Canis lupus familiaris: one gene and its partners. The protein of the gene in region 1 interacts with the protein of each later gene in a pairwise test. Links are inferred from orthologs where the notes say so. Each region holds a gene or a part of one and is shown on either strand. Other genes may lie near its edges. The genes, in order: PRAM1, CCDC57 and SKAP1.

Region 1 (5,168 bases):
TCAAGGACACTGAGAGGGAGGCTGTGGGAGCAGCAGCCTATGGGGGAGCAGCAGGAGCCCGGGTCCTAATGGGGGTGAGGCTGGGGCATATGCAGTGCCTAAGTGGTGAGGTCAGGACTCCAGGGAGCCTGGAAACAAATGTGAGGGTCCTCAGCCAAGGGCAAAGGCTGGCAACGAGGAGCTAGGAGAACCCTGCCTGACTGGCTCTATGTCCCTTAGGGGAGCCATCAGGACTTCCGGAGCCTTCAAGCAAAGTTCCAGGCCTCTCAGCTCGAGACCAGCGAACTCCCCAAAAAACCCCCAAAGCCTGAGTTCAACAAACTCCTAAAGAAGTTTCCACCACCCGAGCTAAGCGAGCACCCCAAGAAGCCCCCACAGCCAGAGTTCCACACAGTACCCAAGAAGCCCCCACAGCCCCCTTGCACCGATCTCCCCAGAAAGCCCTCCAAACCTGAGTTGAGTGAGCCCTCCAAAAAGTTCCCACAGTTCGAGACCCCTCAGAAACCCCCACGGCCTGAGCCTAGCAGGCCCCCACTGGAGCCCAAGCCCAGTGCCTTCCCTAAGAAGCTCCAGCAGCTGGAGCCCAATGGGACCACCCCAGAGCCTTCACAGCCCGACTTTAATACCCTTCCCAAGAAGCCCCCTCAGCCCGACCTCAGCGTGAACCCTAGAAAGGCCCTGCAGTCTGAGGTCAGTGGCCTCCCTAAGAAATCCCTGCCACAGCCTGAATTCAATGAGGTCCCTCAGACGCCCCCCTGGAAGTTAGAGTCCAATGAGCACCCGCCCCACTGCTCAGAGCCCGACTTCAGTACGTTTCCCAGAAAGATCCCAGCCCCTCAGCTGAGTGATCTCCCCAAGAAGCTCCTGCACCCTGATTTTGGTGACCTCACCAGGAGGTCCTCAGAGCCTGAAGTCAGTGTGTTTCCCAAGCGGCCACGGCAGTCTGAATTCAAAGCACCCTCCAAGAAGCTCCTGCAGCCTGAGCTGGGGGCCCTCACCAGGGTGTCCTCAGAGCCCGAGTTTGGCCTCCTCCCCAGGAAGTTCCTGCAGCCTGAATGCCAGCAGCCCCCTCGAAAGTTCTCACAGCCCGAGCCCAGTGCTCTGCCCAAGAAGCACCTGCACACGGAGTTCTTTGGTGATCTCCCTAAAAAGCCCCCACTCCCTGGCTCCGTCTCAGAGAGCTCACTCCCCGCTGCTGTGGCGGGCTCCCGCCCCAGGCTCCCATTCAGCCCTGGCTTTGGAGCCAGGGAGCAGAGATCAGGAGCTCGCTCTCACAGTGGAGGCTCGAGGCTGGGCCTCCAGCCTGGCCACCCACCCCGGCGGAGGCCTCTGCCCCCAGTAAACAGCCTAGGCCCCCCCCCAGCCAAGCCCCCACTGCCCCCTGGCCCCAGGGATGTCCAGAGCTTCCGAAGAGCCGCAGCCGCAGCCACAGGTAGGTCACAGCAGCCTCCGCAAAAAGCTGGGAAGGTAAAGGCAGGGCCTGCCTCCCTCCCGCTCTCCTCCTTCCACAGCTCTGAGGAGGACCCGTTCTTCTGCTGGGATCCACCTCCAAGCCCGACAGACTCAAGACATCCTGCAGTGAGTGTGGGGAGTTAGTGGGTCCTGGCGCAGGTTTAAGGCTGAAAGAGGCCCTCATCTCAGGTTCCTACAGGGACCCGGACGAGGCCTATGAGCTGTATGACGACGTGGAGCCCACGGACAACTCCAGCCCCAGTCCCATGGGCAGAGGTTTGTTGGTGGTGGGGCTGAGCCCTCAGCCAGAGCATCCTGCCCAGGCACCCGGGGACCATTCATTGCAAGGGCACATTCTTCCATGCTGTTGCGGCAAATCTGAGGGACAGTCCGTCTCCCTGGCAGTGCCAGGGGAGAAAGTGGAGGGCAGGAAGGGCCTTTTAGAAAGGCCATGCCAGCTCCTGACACAACAGTAGAGGTAGGGCAGCCCAGAGGCCAACACCAGTGAACGTACTGTGGCCACGGCAGGGGTGTGGCCCAGGGTGGTGGCAGGCGGCATTACAGAGCAGTGGAAGAATCAGAAAGAGGATTTGGTGGCATGTGATGCAGGGGCGAGAGGGAGCAAGTGAGCCCATGACACGGATGAGGCCCAAGTCAAGCTTGACACTTGGGTGCAGAGAGGAGGTATCCCTGAGTCGGGGACAAGGTGTCAGGTTCCATAGTAGACTTGTTGCACTGGAGGCGCTTGCTGGATGTCCAGGCAGGACTTGGGCCTCAACTGAGGCATGGGCTGTAGACGGAGACCCTGAGCCTGCAGTCCTAGACACTCTGTGCTCAGGTTCCTGAGGACCTTTCTTTCTCCCTTCTTCCAAGTCTCTGCTCCCAGAGAGCAGGATAATGGCAAAGCAGACCCGTCTCCAGCCCTGCTATAGGTTAATGCTTTCACCATTTTTTTTTGGGGGGGGGGGGGGGGGGAGTGACTTTCATGCAAGCCCTGTATGTGAACATCACTGAACATGTACAGCCACCCCCCACCCCCAAGGCAACAGCATGCCCTTTTACAGAGGTGGAAGCCTGAGAACCCCAGAAGCAACTTGCCCCAGTTCACACAGCCGGCAGACAGGAGCCCAGGCCCTGTGCTCTCAAGACTTCCCTGCCCTATCTTTGGAAGGGCTTCCTACAGGGCAACCTTTTATTAAGGGTGGTGCCTTTGGGATGCTCCGCGCCTCCCCCCACCCCCCCCACCCCACCCCCGCCCCGCTCAGCCCCAACACCAAGTCTGCTGCCTGTACTACTCTTTCCCAAGCCCCTTCTGCTTCTCCTGGGCTTTCCTCAGGGGCTGCTTACAAAACTGTCTTAGTAGAGCTTCCTGACAAGGCTCCTCCTGCTTCCGCTCTACTGAGGCTCTTGTGGCTGGGGTCTGGGGGGCCAGTCTTGGAGAGGGACGTGGGGAAAGAGGCAGTTAGCTTCCAGCAGCCTTGAAGGTATGCCCCCCCCCACTCTTCCCCAATCCCCAAACAGACCAAGAACATCCCGACTTCTGCTCACTGTCCCTGCCAGTGGAAAATCATCTCCCCATTCCATGCCAGTCATTCTGCAAGACTCCAACAAAATACACTTCTCAAATCTCTCCCTTCTTGAAATACTATGTGGGTCCTCACTGGTAATACGCTGTCCCAAAGGCTACTTTGTACTCTTCTAGTCCAACCTCCCACTCTGCCCTACTTGGGAATGGTAGCAGCCCGACCCCAGAGGTTCCTTCCACAGCTGGGAGCTCTCCTGGAAGGGGCTGGGGCCAGCACACGTAGCTCTTTCTCAGATCTCAATAGGTCACCCTTAGAACCTCCCTTACCTATGTGCCTGATTAGGGTCACACTGCCAGAAATTTGGGCTGCAGGTGTGCCAGGTCTGTCCTGTGCCACAGTGCACAGGGGCATGCTCTACCCCGTGGTGGGTTATAGGGGTCCTGGGGTGCCTCTGGGAGAAGCAGGAGCAGTTGGAGGGAATATCCTGGATGAAACTGGAGATGGCATCATCATCTGAGCACCAGGATGTGGCTGGAGTCTGGAGCAAAAAGCCAGAGGCTTCAGGCTTCAGGTTCTAGATCCTTCACTCAACTGGTATTCATGAGGCTCTCGTAAGCCAAACCCCAGGGCCAGCAGGCTCCTACGTGGAATGCTGGCAGGTTGCCAGAAGTCCGCACTCACGGGGGGAGACCCCTCACAATAGTCCCAGCAGCAGCCAGGCCAGTCCATGAACCCCACCCCATCAGCCCCTTCTCAGACACCCACTTCATTTGCTCTAGGAAATGCCTTTGCCTTATTTTTTACCTAAATCCTAGGACAATCCCCAGAAGCCAAGCTATTCTAAAAGACAGACATGAAATGGCCTCAAAAGCCTGCAAATAAATCCTGCCTTTATCATTTCCAGCCAGATGACCTTGGAGCAGGACTGCTTTACTACTCAGAGCCTTTATTTCCCTCATCAGGGAGCTGGGAATGACAGTATTACCTATTATCCTAAGTAATAAGGTCGCTATGAGGGTTAAGTGAGTTCCTGCAGTAAGCAGTTTCTGCTACACCTACCATGCAGCAGTTCAGAAAACAAAGGCAATGCACTAGAACTCACAACCCCCAAGAAAGGCCTCCGGGGAAGACGGACAGTTGGCAGGGTGGGGGTTGGGAGGGAATGGATGTCCTAAAAACTGACATAGGAAAGGCTCATTCAAGATCAAGTCACCAGTGTCAAGAGGGAGGCTGAGCCAACAGTCCCTGCCCTAACTCAGCGCTCTGACTGCTCCCAGATGAAGTGCCATTTACCCAGCAACCCCCCAGGCCACCACAAGATCCAGAACTCAGGTAGGGGGGGCGGTCATCAGCCCGCCAAGGGCATGGAAGAGGGAGGGACTGAGCTCTGGGCAGACAGGAAGGGGGCCCCTGGGAAGCACACCTTGTTCAGGAGTATCCCAATTCCTCAGGAAGGAGAAGGCTCCCCAGCCACAGCAGTTGCCACCCACAGACCTGAAGTCCCTGAAGCAGATCCGGAAGGCAGAGAAAGCGGAGAGGGAGTTCCGGAAAAAGTTCAAGGTGTGAACACCAGAATCCTCTAAACAAGAGCCCTGGGAGATCTGGGCACAGCCCCAATTGACCAAGACCCCACATATTCCATCCTCAGAAAGAAGCTGGGGTTCCTGGGGGGACAGCACAAAACAAAAGCTCTAACATATCCCTCCCCAGTTTGAGGGGGAGATAGTGATTCAAACAAGGATGATGATCGATCCCAACGCCAAGACACGTCGTGGGGGTGGCAAGCACCTGGGGATCCGGCGTGGGGAGATCCTGGAGGTGATCGAGTTCACAAACAAGGACGAGATGCTGTGCCGGGACACCAAGGGCAAATGTAAGTCAGCCAGACCAGGAAATCTTAGGGCAATGGGCTACCACCAGGGGGGCTACGGGCTCACCTATCCTGTTCTCTTTCACAGATGGCTACGTGCCCAGAACAGCTCTACTGCCCCTGTGAGTGTGGGCCCTGACTGGGGGTGGAGGGGAAGGTGGGGTGGTCAGGGGGACAAGGTGACCTTTACTGACCAAACTGTGCTCTCTGCTAGGGAAACGGAGGTGTATGATGATGTTGGCTTCTGCGGTATGTAGATGCTCAGGGTGGGCTGGAAGGGACCACAGTGCCTGGAAAGAGGTAACCCCCTACTCCACCAT
Region 2 (7,022 bases), on another chromosome or scaffold:
TTCTGGGCATTGGCGCTGGCCTTGGTGCTCTGAGGAGCCCCTGGAGGAGGGGGGAGGGCGGGCTCCAGGTTGGAGGTCACTATGCTGCTTAGATGAGTGAGGGATGAGCAGTGAGGGGCCTGAGGCGGGCAGGGGTGGCCACTGCTGAGAGGGGCCCCGGCCAGCCAGGGGCAGAGGCCATGGAAGGGCTCTGCACGCCTGACTCTGGTGGCCAGGATGTCCCTTCCTCTGCCCACAGACATGTCCTGGGTCACTGGGCATGGGGCACGGATAAGGAGCCCCAGGGACACAAGAGCGCAGACCTCAGAGGGGCCGTGGGGACTGGCCATGTGTGGGGAGGGCCCTGGCAGGGTGGCGAAGGCCCAGGCTCTTGGCAGGGCCCACTACGGCCCCTGCCATTTTGTTGGCTGTGTGCCACGCAAGGGGAGGCAAGTGCTGCACCTCTCTGGGCCTGACAGCCTCGAAGCCTTCCCTGGGATCCTGGTGAGCAGGTCACAAGTTGTGGGGTGGGTGGGGCGAGGAAGGCACATGTCCCACCCCAGGGCAGTAGGAGCTGGCCTTGCCCCGAGAAGCAAGGCCATGCTGTCCCTGTGGTTAGCATTGGCGCCATCAGCAGTGCTGGCTGGGGGGCTGAGGATGGCGAGGAATGGAGCTCTGGCTGTTAGGATTTGCTCCCGTTGAAACAGGCGGGTCCCCTAGGCCCCTCCCGGGGGCTGAGCCAGGACCTGACCCTCCAAGCACCAGGGAAGGGAGCATGTCCTCCCACCGTATGCAGAAGCAAACCAAGTGCTGGAGAGATATCGGACAGGAGGGGGCCAGGATCGAAGCCTGGCTCTGTGACAGCAGGTTGCCCTGGTCCGGAGGCCACTCCGGGATGCAGGTTAAAGGCTATGGGGACCCCGGGCTGCACCTCCAGGCCAGCCCGCTACGATCACTTGGTTTCTGTGCAGGATGTGAGATCTTCCATTTTTCATGAGGCTTGAATTATTGATCTGCTTCATATTTAATAACTCCTGGACCTCCCTCCAGGAGCAGAGCCTGGATTAGGGCGTGGGTCCAGCCCTGGCAGGACCCGCTTGGGGACCGGCCCCGGGGAGCCAGCGAGCCCCTGGGGTGGAGGAAACACAGGAGGGGTGACGCAGGCCACAGGTGAGTGTCCCACCAGGCTCTGCCAGGTGGGGGCTGGGCATGCGTTCTGTCCCCGCTTACTGCCAGGCCAGCGAGGAGGCCCTCAGGGGCTCCCCAGAGCTGTCCCGGAAGGAGCAGCAGGGCCTGGCCCGCCTCTGGGAGGCAGGCTGCCTACAAGGGCGATTTGGCTTTGTTTTCCACTTATGTTTGAGCACAAAGGCAAAAGCGCACAAGTTAGGAGAGCGAACTGATGGATTCTCCGCACCACACGCAACACACGGTGCGACCTCCGCAGGACGAGAGGCTGCTGGAGCCACCCGCCCCCCCCAAGGCCCATGCACGGTGCTGGGGGGGCACGGACCCCGCCCCACTGCCGCCCCCGATCGACCCTCCCCCCCCGTCCCCCGCAGCCCCGGCCCCGCCTATGGACACCTCCCCCACCGTGCAGCCCCGGGTACCCCGCTCCCCTTCCCCGGTGCAGCCCGGCCCCACCCCCGCGTACCCAGCCCCCCATGTTGCCCCGCCCCCTGGACCCGCCCCCGTGCAGCCCCAGCCCCCACCCCGTGCAGCCCCGCCCCCTGTGCAGCTCCGCCCCCCCACGGCCCCGCGCCCAGTGCAGCCCTAACCGCCCCCGTGTAGCCCTGTCCCTACCCCGTGCAGCCCCGCCCCCGCCCCGCCCCCCGTGCGGCCCCAGCCCCCACCCCGTGCAGCCCCGCCCCCTGTGCAGCTCCGCCCCCCCACGGCCCCGCGCCCAGTGCAGCCCTAACCGCCCCCGTGTAGCCCTGTCCCTACCCCGTGCAGCCCCGCCCCCGCCCCGCCCCCCGTGCGGCCCCAGCCCCTACCCCGTGCAGCCCCGCCCCCGCCCTGCCCCCCCGTGCGGCCCCAGCCCCTACCCCGTGCAGCCCCGCTCCCCCGGCCCCGCTCCCCGTGCAGCCCCAGCCCCTACCCCGTGCAGCCCCGCCCCCGCCCTGCCCCCCGTGCGGCCCCAGCCCCTACCCCGTGCAGCCCCGCCCCCCCGGCCCCGCTCCCCGTGCAGCCCCAGCCCCCACCCCGTGCAGCCCCGCGCCCAGTGCAGCCCTAACCGCCCCCGTGCAGCCCTGCCCCTACCCCGTCCGGCCCCGCCCCCGCCCCGCCCCCCGTGCGGCCCCAGCCCCTACCCCGTGCAGCCCCGCCCCCACGGCCCCGCTCCCCGTGCGGCCCCGCCCCCCGTGCGGCCCCGGCCCCCGTAGCCCCCGCCGTCCCTCCAGTTCCGGGGACCCTCTCCCGGCGTCAGGTGGGCGGGAGTGGGCCCTCCGCCCCTTGGCGCCTGCGCGGGGCGGGTGAGAGGAGGCCGGAACCCGGCGCCGGAGCTCGCGTTTCCGGGCGGTGGGACCCGAGCGCCGCACCGAGCGCGCCGGAGCCGCGAGGGCGGACTTGGTCACCATGGCGACGCGGCGGGACGGAGGCCGGTCCCCACGGGCGTGCGCGGTGAGCCTGGGGCGCGGGGCGGGGCCGCTCCCGGGCCCAGTGACGGGGTCGTCGCCTTCCCGGGGCGGGGCGTGGCTGCGGGCCCCCCTCCCGCGAGCACCCTGCTGGCGCCCGCGGCGGCCTGCCCCACCCCGCGCGGAGGGTCGGAAGCCGGGAGGTCGGTCCGGCGGCCCGCCCAGTCGTGGAGAGATCCCCCGCGGCGCGGCGGGGTCAGGCGGGGCGGGGGGCAGCGGGGTCAGGCGGGGTCAGGCGGGGGCGGGGCGACTTGGGGTGGGACCCCGCGCTCCCGGGCCCAGGGCGCCGCCTGCCCCGCCGCTGCTCACGCACGTACTTTCCGTGTGTCCCCATTCTAAAGTTGCCATTTTTCGTTAATGATACTTCCAGGCCACGGAAATTGTTTCTTTATCTTTTTTTAAAAAAGATTTTATTTATTTATTCGTTAGCAACCGAGAGAGAGAGAGAGAGAGACCCCCAGACCGAGGGAGAAGCAGGCTCCTTGCGGGGAGCCCCACGCGGGACTCGATCCCGGGTCCCCGGGGTCATATCCTGGGCCGAGGGCGACGCCCAGCCGCTGGGCCCCCGGGCGCCCTATATATCTTGTTTCTAACCACACTTTCTATCACAAGTGTTTTCTGAAACAATTATTAATATTTTTTTTACCAATTAAGGATTTTTCTGTTTCCATTATTCTTTCCAACTAATGGAATTCTGTAAGAAAGAACCTCCCGCCCCACCCCCGTTTCTTTTAAGTAGGCTTCACACCCAACATAGGACTCGAACTCAGGACCCAGAGATCCAGAGTCACACAGGGACTCTACCGACTGAGCAAGCCGGGTGCCCCCAGCACCTTACCTTCCTCCCTTCCCCCCTCATCTCGTGTTGGTATACACGTTTTTATTTTGTTTTTATTCCACACCTGTATAATACATTGCTATAATGTATTTTGTTGCTAATTCTCCAGGTTTGGGCATTAGGAGCCCCTTCAAGTCAGCGTGTCCCCCAGCATTTCTCGGCACCGCCAGATGTTCCCCGCCCGTCCTGTGCTTTCTGGAGCAACTTCAGAATTGCCAATCCGTATTTCTATGAAAAATAGACTACTAGCTAGAGTGTAATATTTGCATACAGTTGTTTTGCTTTTATTCTTGGAATTTACAGTCAAGATTTTTTATAAGATTATTTTAGTGCATTTATGTAGGTTTTGTTGCATTATGTCAATCACTTGTTCCTGTTTGTTTTTTTTTAATTTTTTTATTTTATTTTAATATTTTATTTATTTATTCACGAGAGACACACAGAGAGAGGCAGAGACAGGCAGAGGGAGAAGCAGGCTCCATGCAGGGAGCCCGACGTGGGACTGGATCCCAGGTCTCCAGGTTCAGGTCCTGGGCCAAAGGCAGCGCCAAACCGCTGAGCCACGCAGGTTGCCCACTTGTTCCTCTTTGTATTTCGTTATGAGTCCTTACTGATTTTAAGTTTCAATGTGTGAACCATGTTCTAAAAGTCAGCAGCTCATGGGGCGCCCAGCTGGCTCAGTTGGAAGAGTGCAGCCCTTGATCCCAGGGTCATGAGTTCGAGGCCCATGTTGGGTGTAGCGATTACTTAAATAAGTAAATAAAAAGTCAGCAGCTCTCAACTGTAAGGTGATTCAGCTTCCCTTCTGCTTTTGTTCTCATTTACTCAATTTTTATTTGTTTGGTTTTTGTTATTTTTGGCAAAGGAATTTGGCAGGTGTAAATTGTAATGAAAAAGCACTGCATATCCCTCACTTTAGCGGTATCCCTTAACCCCAGCCAGTACCAGTGGTGGAATTAAGACCTGAGATTTTTTTTTTTAAGATTTTATTTATTTATTCATGATAGTCACACAGAGAGAGAGAGAGGCAGAGGAGAAGCAGGCTCCATGCACCGGGAGCCCGATGTGGGATTCGATCCCGGGTCTCCAGGATCGCGCCCTGGGCCAAAGGCAGGCGCCAAACCGCTGCGCCACCCAGGGATCCCCCTATCTGAGATTTACTTGAGATTTTACACATGGTTGTGGGTACTGTTTGGCACTCAGTGAAGTGTGAGGAAGACGGCTTGTGGTCACAGGCCCCTGATTTTCATCCCCTAGACACTACGCTGGAAGAGTACGCGTACCAGGGTTAGCTGGACGGCCCTTGTTGGGATTCCAGGGGGCGCCAGTGTTGAGTCCCGTCCTGAGTGCAGTAACAGATGAGCCCCCTCCAGACTTTCCTTCAAGTCCCACAAAAGCGTTTTGTAAATTAAGGTCACTAATTTATAGTAATTAAGCTCACGTGTTTATAGAGCAGCGAGATAGCTTTCCTTAATGAAGTAGATTTGGGTTCTCGTGCGTTAGGAACGGGGGGCTTATTAGCCGCTGAGTCCAAAGCCCAGAGCATCTGGAACCGCAGCCTTGAGGGAAAGGAGGTAAAAAGAAACCTCTGCTCAGCCAGTGTGTCCGAGTGGCTTGTTCGTCAGCGTCTGGTGACCGGCTTTTAGCCCTTTGCAAACATTCCCTTGTGTACATTGTGCACTCGGTAACTGCTTATGTTTTAATGAGGTCATGCAATGCTTTTCCAATTAAGTACTTACGAGATATTTATTGTAAAACAAATTGTTCCAAATTTTTGGTCAGGCGCATGGAGTGTGATGAACTCTCGTGTCCTATCTGCGGATTGGGTAACCCGGGTTCGTCTCTGACGTGTTTTACTCTGATGTTCGGGTCGTCTGGGGAGTGGTAGGATTTGTCAGTGGGACGAAGCATCCTGCCATAGTCCTTCCTGTCCCTCCAGCATCTTGTCCCTGGAGGCCTGCAGGAGGGGTGAGGCACCCCCAGGGCGAGGCCAGCCCCCTGCAGAGCTCCCGTGCTTGCAGAGCTCTGCACCTCCCTTTGGAGGTGGGAGGTGGGCTCACCTTTGTCTCCAGCCCTTTCCTCTTTTTTTTTTTTTTTAATTTTATTTATTTATTCATGATGGAGAGAGAGAGGCAGAGACACAAGCAGAGGGAGAAGCAGGCTCCAGGCAGGGAGCTGGGCACGGGACTCGATTCCAGGACTCCAAGATTGCGCCCCGGGGCCAAAGGCAGGTGCTAAACCGCTGAGCCACCGGGGGATCCCCTCCAGCCCTTTCCTCTTAACCGTGGTGCCAGCTGTCAGAAACACTTGGCGTGGACCCCACTTGGGGCTCTGGCAGTCTTTGGCTCTGTCCTAATTTGTGAGGACGTGTCTGAGTGTGTCACTAACCGGAGGTGCCAACTTCAGAGCCTCGGTCTCTCGTGCCCTGCCTGAGGAGTGCCAAGCCCCGAGCGTTGCCCCCCTGCCTCCCATAAGGCTGCCCCCGTGGTTGGGGTCACCCACACAGGCCCCTGGCCGGGTCGGCGAGTGAGTCCCCAGCTGCCTTAGCTCGGGGACGCAGTCGTATGTCTTACTGACGGAGGTTGCCTTCCAGATGGGGCCTCTGCGGCCTCCTCTGTCCGGGGCTGGGAGGCCATGGCCTTCGTGAGCAGTTATTTCCATCTTCCTAACACCTGGGAATTTCTAGGTGCTTTTCAGGCCTCGCAGGTCTGAAATAAGGGTTAGAAAGCTCAGTGTTTCACAAATGAGAAAGTCAGAGTGCTGCATGACGCAGCCTGGCCCTGCCCCATGCCCTGCTGGCCCCACGGGCTCTCTAGAACACCGTGAGCAGTGAGCAAAGCCGTGGTAACTGCGTGGCTCCCCCCTCTATGGGGCTCTCTGTAGTTTCCCCAGAAGTTTCATGTGGTGCCTCCTGAAACCTGGGTGCTGGCCGGGGACATCTGCTGGCTGACGGACAGGTTGGGTCCAGACTCTGAACCTATGACGTTTAAAGCTGATTAATGTCAGCCTCAGGGCTTTTAGGGTCATCTTTGGTGAGATTTAAACGCAGCAGGGCGCAGCTGTTGTGTGATGAGGGAGGGGTACAGAGCGCTGGGCGGGCGCCTTCATAGGGCCGGAGCCTGGGGGTGCCGAGGGCAGTAGGATCTGCTGTGCACGGTCCAAGCTGCTTGCTCTCTGGGGGGCGGGGGTGTCCTAGGACTCCTCGGGTGCCGTTCCAAGCAGGTTGAACTTTACCTTGAGAAGCCCAGAGCCACAGGCATGGTATCACGTGATCAGCTGTGTGTGTCACAGGAGTGAGCCCTGGGGGTAGCTGTGTGACCTGGTGGCAGGGCCTGGCACAGGACAGGGTGCTAACGAGCAGTCCCCAGAGGAGGGGAGGCCCGCTGACCTCCAGCCCTTGTGAAGGACGGTGGTGATGACTCACAGGCGCTTCAGGAGCCCGTGAGTCACCAGCGGTGGCCGTGGCGCGGGCGTTGTTCAGTGACATGTGTTTGCTTAAATCCTGATTCTTTCCCTGGGAGTGGGTGCAGGCATGTGGGTGGCCAGGGTGCCTGTCGGTTTCTGTTGATGAGACT
Region 3 (6,911 bases), on another chromosome or scaffold:
ATGAGGAAACTTGATGCAACATGACAATGCCGTATTGCAATCTGCCAGTCACCCACCTCATACTACCCAACTCTGCACCTCTCTCTCCCCCTGTCTGAGACCCAGAACGGTTGTAGAATACCTATGCCTCTAGTTACTGCTGCTTCTTTTGGTATAAGTAAGCTCTGCAGGCAGTGAGGCCTGAGAGGACACAAGATTACCTGAGTTCATTGCTCTTTACCAAACAACTCATTAGCTTGTGGCCTATATTAGCATTTGACAGATATCCTTGGAGAAGAGGGGGAGGTTGTCAAATTTCCTCCCACTGCTGAGAGGGAAAGCAAGACAAAGTGCTGGGGTTACATAGAGGAGGGACTTTGTTTCCCTTGCTGTTTCTTAGAAGAGCTTCAGATTCACGGAAAAATTACCATGCAGGTACAGAGAGCTCTGGTATATCCTCCCTGGCTTTTTAACACGTCATAAGTACTCAAAAAATTCTTTGAGAGCAGTTACAATTCTATAGAAGGAGCAGTTGAGTATGATAAAAATGCCCTAGCAGGGACCTGGTATTTGCTCCCGAGTCTAGAGAAGGCAGCTTGTCTATTGTTAACTTTTCCAGAGCAAGAAGGAGCAGCAGTAGGAGCCAGAGTCCCCAGAGACACCCTTCCTGCCCCAGCCCCTGTCTCTCCACCCCCAGCCCAATTTGCTACAACTTGTGGATGGATCATGTGATCCTGGAACCAAGGGACCATTCCTCTTCAGATTGCAGGATGTGGACATGTAAAGATAGTCATTACAAGCCTACATTACAAAGCCACTGCACCCCTTAAAGGATCAAGCCCCCAACCTTGGGAAACTATGCCAGGAGGCAGGCAGTGCCACTCCCTGTCCTTCTGGACAGTTTCTCCTTATGGCTTCCATCCCCAAATCCGTGGTTCCATCAACATTTTCCCCTGAGGCTGCTGTAAAAAACCACTCACCCATCTTCCCTGTGTTCTCTCTCCCTCACTGCTTTCAATCCTTCCCACATATTCTTGTTGTATGCAAGAATCTGAGACTAGAAACTCCATTTTTTATAAAGAAGGAAAATGTGAAATGTGCAAGATCACACAACTACACAGGTCACATGCCACAGCTCAAAACTTGTCAATGTCTCCCCAGTTGAGTTCAAAATCCTCATTCTGACTTTCAAGTCCCTTTACAATAAGACTTCACGTTTTCTTGACAGCCATGATTTCCCTATACCATCCAGTAAAAGGGTTATTCGCTGTTCCTCAAGCAAAAGGTTTTTCCATCTTTTTTTATTCTGTTCTTTCCACCTGAAAAGCCCTCCTGCCCCTTCCAAGCCTGGTGTGTTCAGGGCCCATCTTGAATGTCATATGCACCATTAAACACATATGCACCCACACTTCTCTCCTTTTTTAAAAAAATATATTTGTCTCCCTCCTTTTACGCTCATGGCACTTTCTGCTTTCATGGCACTTGGTTTATTGAGCTTAAAAAACTCCACAAAGGTTTTTGAGGTCACTGAGATTCACAGAAGTTAAAAGAAATGATACAGAGCGATCCTCTCTACCCCTTCCTTACTCGTTTCCACCAGTGGTAACATCTTGCAATACTACAGTTTCAGATCGCAAGCAGGATAGGGACCCATACTGTATTTTGGAGGAGGGGAGGAGAACACTTCTGTGATCTCCCGTTCTTCACTTTCCTCCCTTTGCCAGCTGTTAGAGGCAAAAGGCTGGCGTCCTCTCTCCCCCCCGCCTTCTTCGGGGTTACCCCATCCTTTCCTGGCATCCTTACAGCCTTAGGGAGGGACACTGGCTCCCTGTATCCGCTGCAGCCGCGCCGCTCCGCTCCTCCCCAGTGTTGGTGGCTTTATTATTTGAGACCTGCAGCCGTTCCTTTGAGACAGGGGTTTGCCCGAGATAGTGGACGTTCTGCCCCGTTTTCTGGGCGTGGACGTGCGAGCCGGATCGGGAACTGCTTGCCGCGGGGCTCGGCGGGGACGGCCTCCCCGCGTTCTGCGGCTCCGCGCCCCACTCCGGGCACCACCGTGGCTTTGGGACGCGTCCCTTGAGGCCCACCGGCCAGTACTTAGGGTAGAAAGTGTCCCAGGAGATGAAGTTCCTTTGGGCCGCGTTTAGTCTTTTGTTCCGGTGCGGGGAGAAGGGGTGGCTGTGCGGCTCCCCGCCCCCCAGTGCTTCCACCTGCGGGCGCCGCGGGAGTGGCGCGGGCACCCGCGCACAGGTGTTCCCCCCAACACCGCCCGGGGCGCGCCCCCCGCCCGCCGCGCGCGCCACTTCCTGAGCGCGCCCCGGGCCCGCGGCCCCGCCCTGCGGCCAGGCCGGGCTGCCGCAGCAGCGGCGACAGAGGTACAGGTGCCTCCGCCGGAGACAGCCGCCTGCCAGCCCGCGGGCTTTGGCTCCAGGCCTTCACGGCCGCTCTCCCGCCTCACACTCCGGCCTCCCCGCAGCCCGGCCAAATGCAGGCCGTCGCCCTCCCCGAGGAGATCCGTTGGCTCATGGAAGGTAACGCCCTGGCCCGGCCCCAGGCCCCCCTCCCGGCCCCCTGGGAAGTCCCGCAGGTGCAGAGCTGGAGGCCCGAGCCGAGACCCAGGGGCTCCCAAGACCGGCCTCTCTTTTCGGCTCCATCATCCACAGCCTTCCAGAACCTCAAGACTGCTGGAACCCTCAACTCTGCAGACCCAGATTTCATCCTGTCCGCTCAGGGTCCCATTCACTCCCCCTCAGTTCCACATTTTTCTTTTTCTTTTCTTTTCTTTTCTTTTCTTTTCTTTTCTTTTCTTTTCTTTTCTTTTCTTTTCTTTTCTTTTCTTTTCTTTTCTTTCTTTTTTTTCTTTTCTTTTCTTTTCTTTTCTTTCTTTCTTTCTTTCTTTCTTTCTTTCTTTCTTTCTTTCTTTCTTCTTTCCTTTCTTTTCTTTCCTTTCTTTCCTCTTTTTAAAGATTTTATTCATGAGAGACACACAGAGAGAGGTAGAGACACAGGCGGAGGGAAAGCAGGCCCCATGCAGGGAGGCTGATGTGGGACTCGATCCCAGGACTCCAGGATCATGCCTCCAGCAGAAGGCAGACGAGCCACCCCGGCGTCCCCACATTTTATTTCTTCCTCGAGGCATCTCCACCCACCCTCCACTTCACCTTCCAGGCTTCTGAACAACGTCTGGCCAGGTTCTTGGCAGGGGGGGGGGGCCTCCATGCGACCTTGCATGGTCTTTGGCCAGACCCTTTCTCCTCGGGACAGTACCCCGACGCCTGTGGGGTTTTGCCTTTCCTCCCTCCCCAGCCCCGAAGCCCCTCACCTTCTTGCTCCAGGTCCTCGAGGCTCTCGGGGGCTGTGAGGGGCTCGAGGGGCTCGTGGGATGCTGTTGGCCAAGGCCTGGGGCTAAGTGTGAGTTTTGTCGGTGCCGAAGGCCCCAGCCTCCTTTTGCCAGCCTGCAGACTTCTGCGGGTCTTGCTGTCTACCCAGGGCAGGTGGATGCAGTATTAAGTTTCTAACTCTTCTAGAAATGCCCCACACTGGTGTGTTTACCTTCAAACTATGGTGCCTAAGCAGTCCTTTTAAGAGTTAAGGCCATATTCAGCAACACTCCACAGATGCTTCTAACACTGGAAAGAGACTTTTTGCTAATGGGCAATATCTCCAGCTCCATTCACACTGCTTTCTGGCAAAAGTGATTTGCTTTCCTGTAACTGACCTTCCTGGAAGGACAGAGGCCTGGAATCTGTCCTTGCATAAGCGTCCCAGGAGGAAACGACTCTGAATTAAGCCTTTTGGCATCCAAGTGACATTTTTGACACATATTTAACAGATGGCCTGCTTTGGGCAGGTCAGACTTTTGGCAAGGAGTTTTTTTTTTTTTTTTTTTTTTTCAGTTTCTCTCAATGTAATTGGTTTTATATCTCCATTACCTTGTTATCTTGGTATAAATGCCTCCTAATCAAATATTTGGCAGTCCTTTTGGTCTCTGTTTGTAGCACTGTTTCCATTCTGGATTGCTTCTATGTAAAAGCTGTCAACGAGGTATTTCTTTTGAGGTGAAGTTTCCAAAATCCACTTTACTTATATGACCCGAGTAAATCTAAACTTTCAGAGTAGAAAAGTATTTGTAGGGTGAAGCAGCATCATCTGGGTGTCTGAGAAGAAGCAATCCAGCCTCTCTTTCTGCCATTGGTTCAATATTGTATGTTGAATGTAAAGAGAGACTCAAAGTGTGATGGTTTCTGGGAGAGAAGGAACTGTGGCAAAAAATGTAATTCTGCCCTTGTGTTTAAAAATATAAAGTGATTATTTTTATTGGTATCTGTCATTTGATGAGAGGAAACCTATTTTACCAGCTTGTTAAACTATACTTCCGTTTTGTGTGCAGCTTTAGTAGGAAATTCTTTTTTATTTTCAGAGGCTTGCAATGAAATACACTCCTTCAACATTTTTGATGTGCAGTTCTTTATTGTTCAAAACTGACACTTTGGTAAACAACTCATTTCTGTACCTGCCACCTTCCTTTAGCTTAGATTATTTTCTTGTTAGCTGACTGTTTTTAATTGAAGTCTTCAGATCTCCTTCTAAAGCAGAACCTTTGTTTGCTGACAAGTAGAGCAGGGTATGAATGGAGATTAATTGCATGTCACATACTTCTGTGTCAAACTTGCTGTGTCTTAACAATCTGTGTTGGTGCCTGGGTCTTTAGAATCTATAGAGGAGTCTGAGATTAAATTTTAAGGAGCTTCGTTGGTTAATGTATTTCTTTAAGGCCTTTTTTTTAAAGTTTGCAATTAGAATCTGAATCTGAAGGAGAGGGGGGATTCCAACCAATAATTCTATTGAAAAATGTTTGAGGACTATGTTTTTGAAAGGTTCATGTAATCATAACACATTGGTTATAGGTTTGTTTTTTTTTAATGATATATAGTCTCTGGTGTAGACCAACAGAATTATTCATTATACTACAAATAATCTGTGGATATTAGAAACCCATAATGACTTTCAATTTATTGTCTGTTGCTGTGTACTTGTCTCCCCACCACACACACTTTTTAAGGTTAACTGTTGACAATTAGAAAATATGTAGGTCCTGATCTCTATATTGTCACTCAGTGGAGAAAGTCACAGGGTGAGAGAGCTGCCACTTTAGTGCTGCCACATGGTTGTGGGGGTGGAGTTTCCACAATGAATTACTACTTTCATAAACCAAGGCATAAGCATTCGCATGGTGATTTAACGCTGGCCATCACGGCCATAACTTAAGCATTTATTTATTTATAACTACATGAACAGAAATGACAGGGGTGTTTTTTGACATAATATGTGTGCTTTTAAAAATAAAATATGCAAAGCATTATGAAAGGTTTATGCCAAAATTTTGCATAATGAAGAAAGGAACAGAAATGTTGAAGGTCTAAAATTAATTTTAAGGATAAAATTTTAAACATTTGAAAATGTTTCATTTGACCTAGAAACTCCACTTCTGGGAATCTATGTTACTGAATTTAAAGGACATGAAGTATATATGTACAAGGATCCATCTTAAATGTCCAGGAGTTGGGAAAGGCAGGGCAATGGTATGAATGAATTATCCATCTTATGGAATATTTTGCAGTCATTAAAAAGAATGTGATAGGTCTGTATGTATTGGCTTGGAAAGTGTCCATATTTTTAAGACTAATAATATATACAATCCATTTTTGTTTGAAAACAAGAAAGTGAACCAACTCCTCCCTCCCATATATTATATATATTTTTTATAAGCCTGGGAAGAAGTAAGACTATACACCTAGCTGTTAACATTGTTTCTTTGGGAGGAAAATGAGAGGATGGGAGAGGCAGACATTATTACTTTTGTTTCATACATCTTCATGTTGTTGGAACTGTGACAATGACCATGTATTATTTTTGTTAATCAGATAAACAACTAGTAGGGTTATTTAAAAGAAAAAGGTACAAAAGACAAATAGAAGCTTGGAGAGGTCATAGTGGTCTAGAGCGCTAAAGGACCATTCACCAAGGTTATGATTATGTTTTTCCCTTGTTAGCGCTGGGAGTGGAGTGTGTGGAAGTGTTTTTTTTTTGTTTTGTTTTATTTTGTTTTGTTTTTTAACATCTTCTTGGCTATTTGGCTAATATTAAAAGAGCAGGAGTACTTTAAGAGTAACTCAGGAAACAGCTTCCTCAGATTCTGTCAAGCTCTCTTATAGAAATAGTAACTAGTCCATATCAGCAAATAACTACCTTCCAGATAAGTAAAATAAAAGGTGTTTACTGCCTTATTGAAAGAGGAGGAAATATTCAGGTCTGTTTTCAAATTATCAGCCTTCAGATGTAGAAGCTATCTTTTTGTTTTTGTTTTGTGATAACCATACTGAAAACAAAAACAATGGAGTGCTGGCAGTTTGCATAATCTTCATTCCACAGATATAAATACAGTTTCTTTCTTGTCTTTCTAGTCTTGCTTTTGAAGTCAGAAGGACCAGAGGCAAGTATGAAGGAGGTAGGACATATATTTCTTCAGCTCACAGTATGCTGTGTGTGATGGAATGGGGCCTACTGACTTCACCTTCATAGCTAATAGGTTCCAGCTACCTCCAAAGTCCCTAAATCCTGCTGGGAATATGGAGTAAAGCCAAAACAACATCCACATCCAGGCTGCATTTAGTAGCAATTGCCATGTTAATACTAATTATTATATGCCTATGGTTACTTATTTTTATTTTATTATTTGTTTTTTTAAAAGGTTTTATTTATTTATTCACGAGAGACACAGAGAGAGGCAGAGACATAGGCAGAGGGAGAAGCAGGCTCCCCACCAGGAGCCTGATGTGGGACTTGATCCAGGACCCTGGGATCATGACCAGAACCAAAGGCAGATGCTCAACCATTGAGCTACCCAGGCATCCATGGTTACTTATTTTTAA

Evidence for each region.
Region 2: the proteins of PRAM1 (region 1) and CCDC57 interact in binary tests that used the Homo sapiens proteins (3 or more experiments, as listed by UniProt). The two-hybrid records come from large-scale screens. The link is inferred for Canis lupus familiaris from reciprocal best matches to the Homo sapiens genes PRAM1 and CCDC57.
Region 3: the proteins of PRAM1 (region 1) and SKAP1 interact in binary tests that used the Homo sapiens proteins (3 or more experiments, as listed by UniProt). The two-hybrid records come from large-scale screens. The link is inferred for Canis lupus familiaris from reciprocal best matches to the Homo sapiens genes PRAM1 and SKAP1.

What each region holds. Positions count from the first base shown.
Region 1 is NC_049241.1:53,443,072-53,448,239, reverse strand, and holds part of PRAM1 (PML-RARA-regulated adapter molecule 1), read left to right. Parts: intron 1-219; coding exon 220-1,432; intron 1,433-1,511; coding exon 1,512-1,578; intron 1,579-1,651; coding exon 1,652-1,728; intron 1,729-4,255; coding exon 4,256-4,310; intron 4,311-4,429; coding exon 4,430-4,538; intron 4,539-4,688; coding exon 4,689-4,851; intron 4,852-4,936; coding exon 4,937-4,970; intron 4,971-5,062; coding exon 5,063-5,105; 3' UTR 5,106-5,148; exon of another isoform or gene 5,149-5,168. UniProt on the Homo sapiens protein: May be involved in myeloid differentiation. May be involved in integrin signaling in neutrophils. Binds to PtdIns(4)P.
Region 2 is NC_049230.1:949,473-956,494, forward strand, and holds the start of CCDC57 (coiled-coil domain-containing protein 57), read left to right. Parts: upstream 1-2,458; 5' UTR 2,459-2,595; intron 2,596-5,572; exon of another isoform or gene 5,573-6,404; intron 6,405-7,022. UniProt on the Homo sapiens protein: Pleiotropic regulator of centriole duplication, mitosis, and ciliogenesis. Critical interface between centrosome and microtubule-mediated cellular processes. Centriole duplication protein required for recruitment of CEP63, CEP152, and PLK4 to the centrosome.
Region 3 is NC_049230.1:24,647,448-24,654,358, reverse strand, and holds the start of SKAP1 (src kinase-associated phosphoprotein 1), read left to right. Parts: upstream 1-2,301; 5' UTR 2,302-2,464; coding exon 2,465-2,510; intron 2,511-6,911. UniProt on the Homo sapiens protein: Positively regulates T-cell receptor signaling by enhancing the MAP kinase pathway. Required for optimal conjugation between T-cells and antigen-presenting cells by promoting the clustering of integrin ITGAL on the surface of T-cells.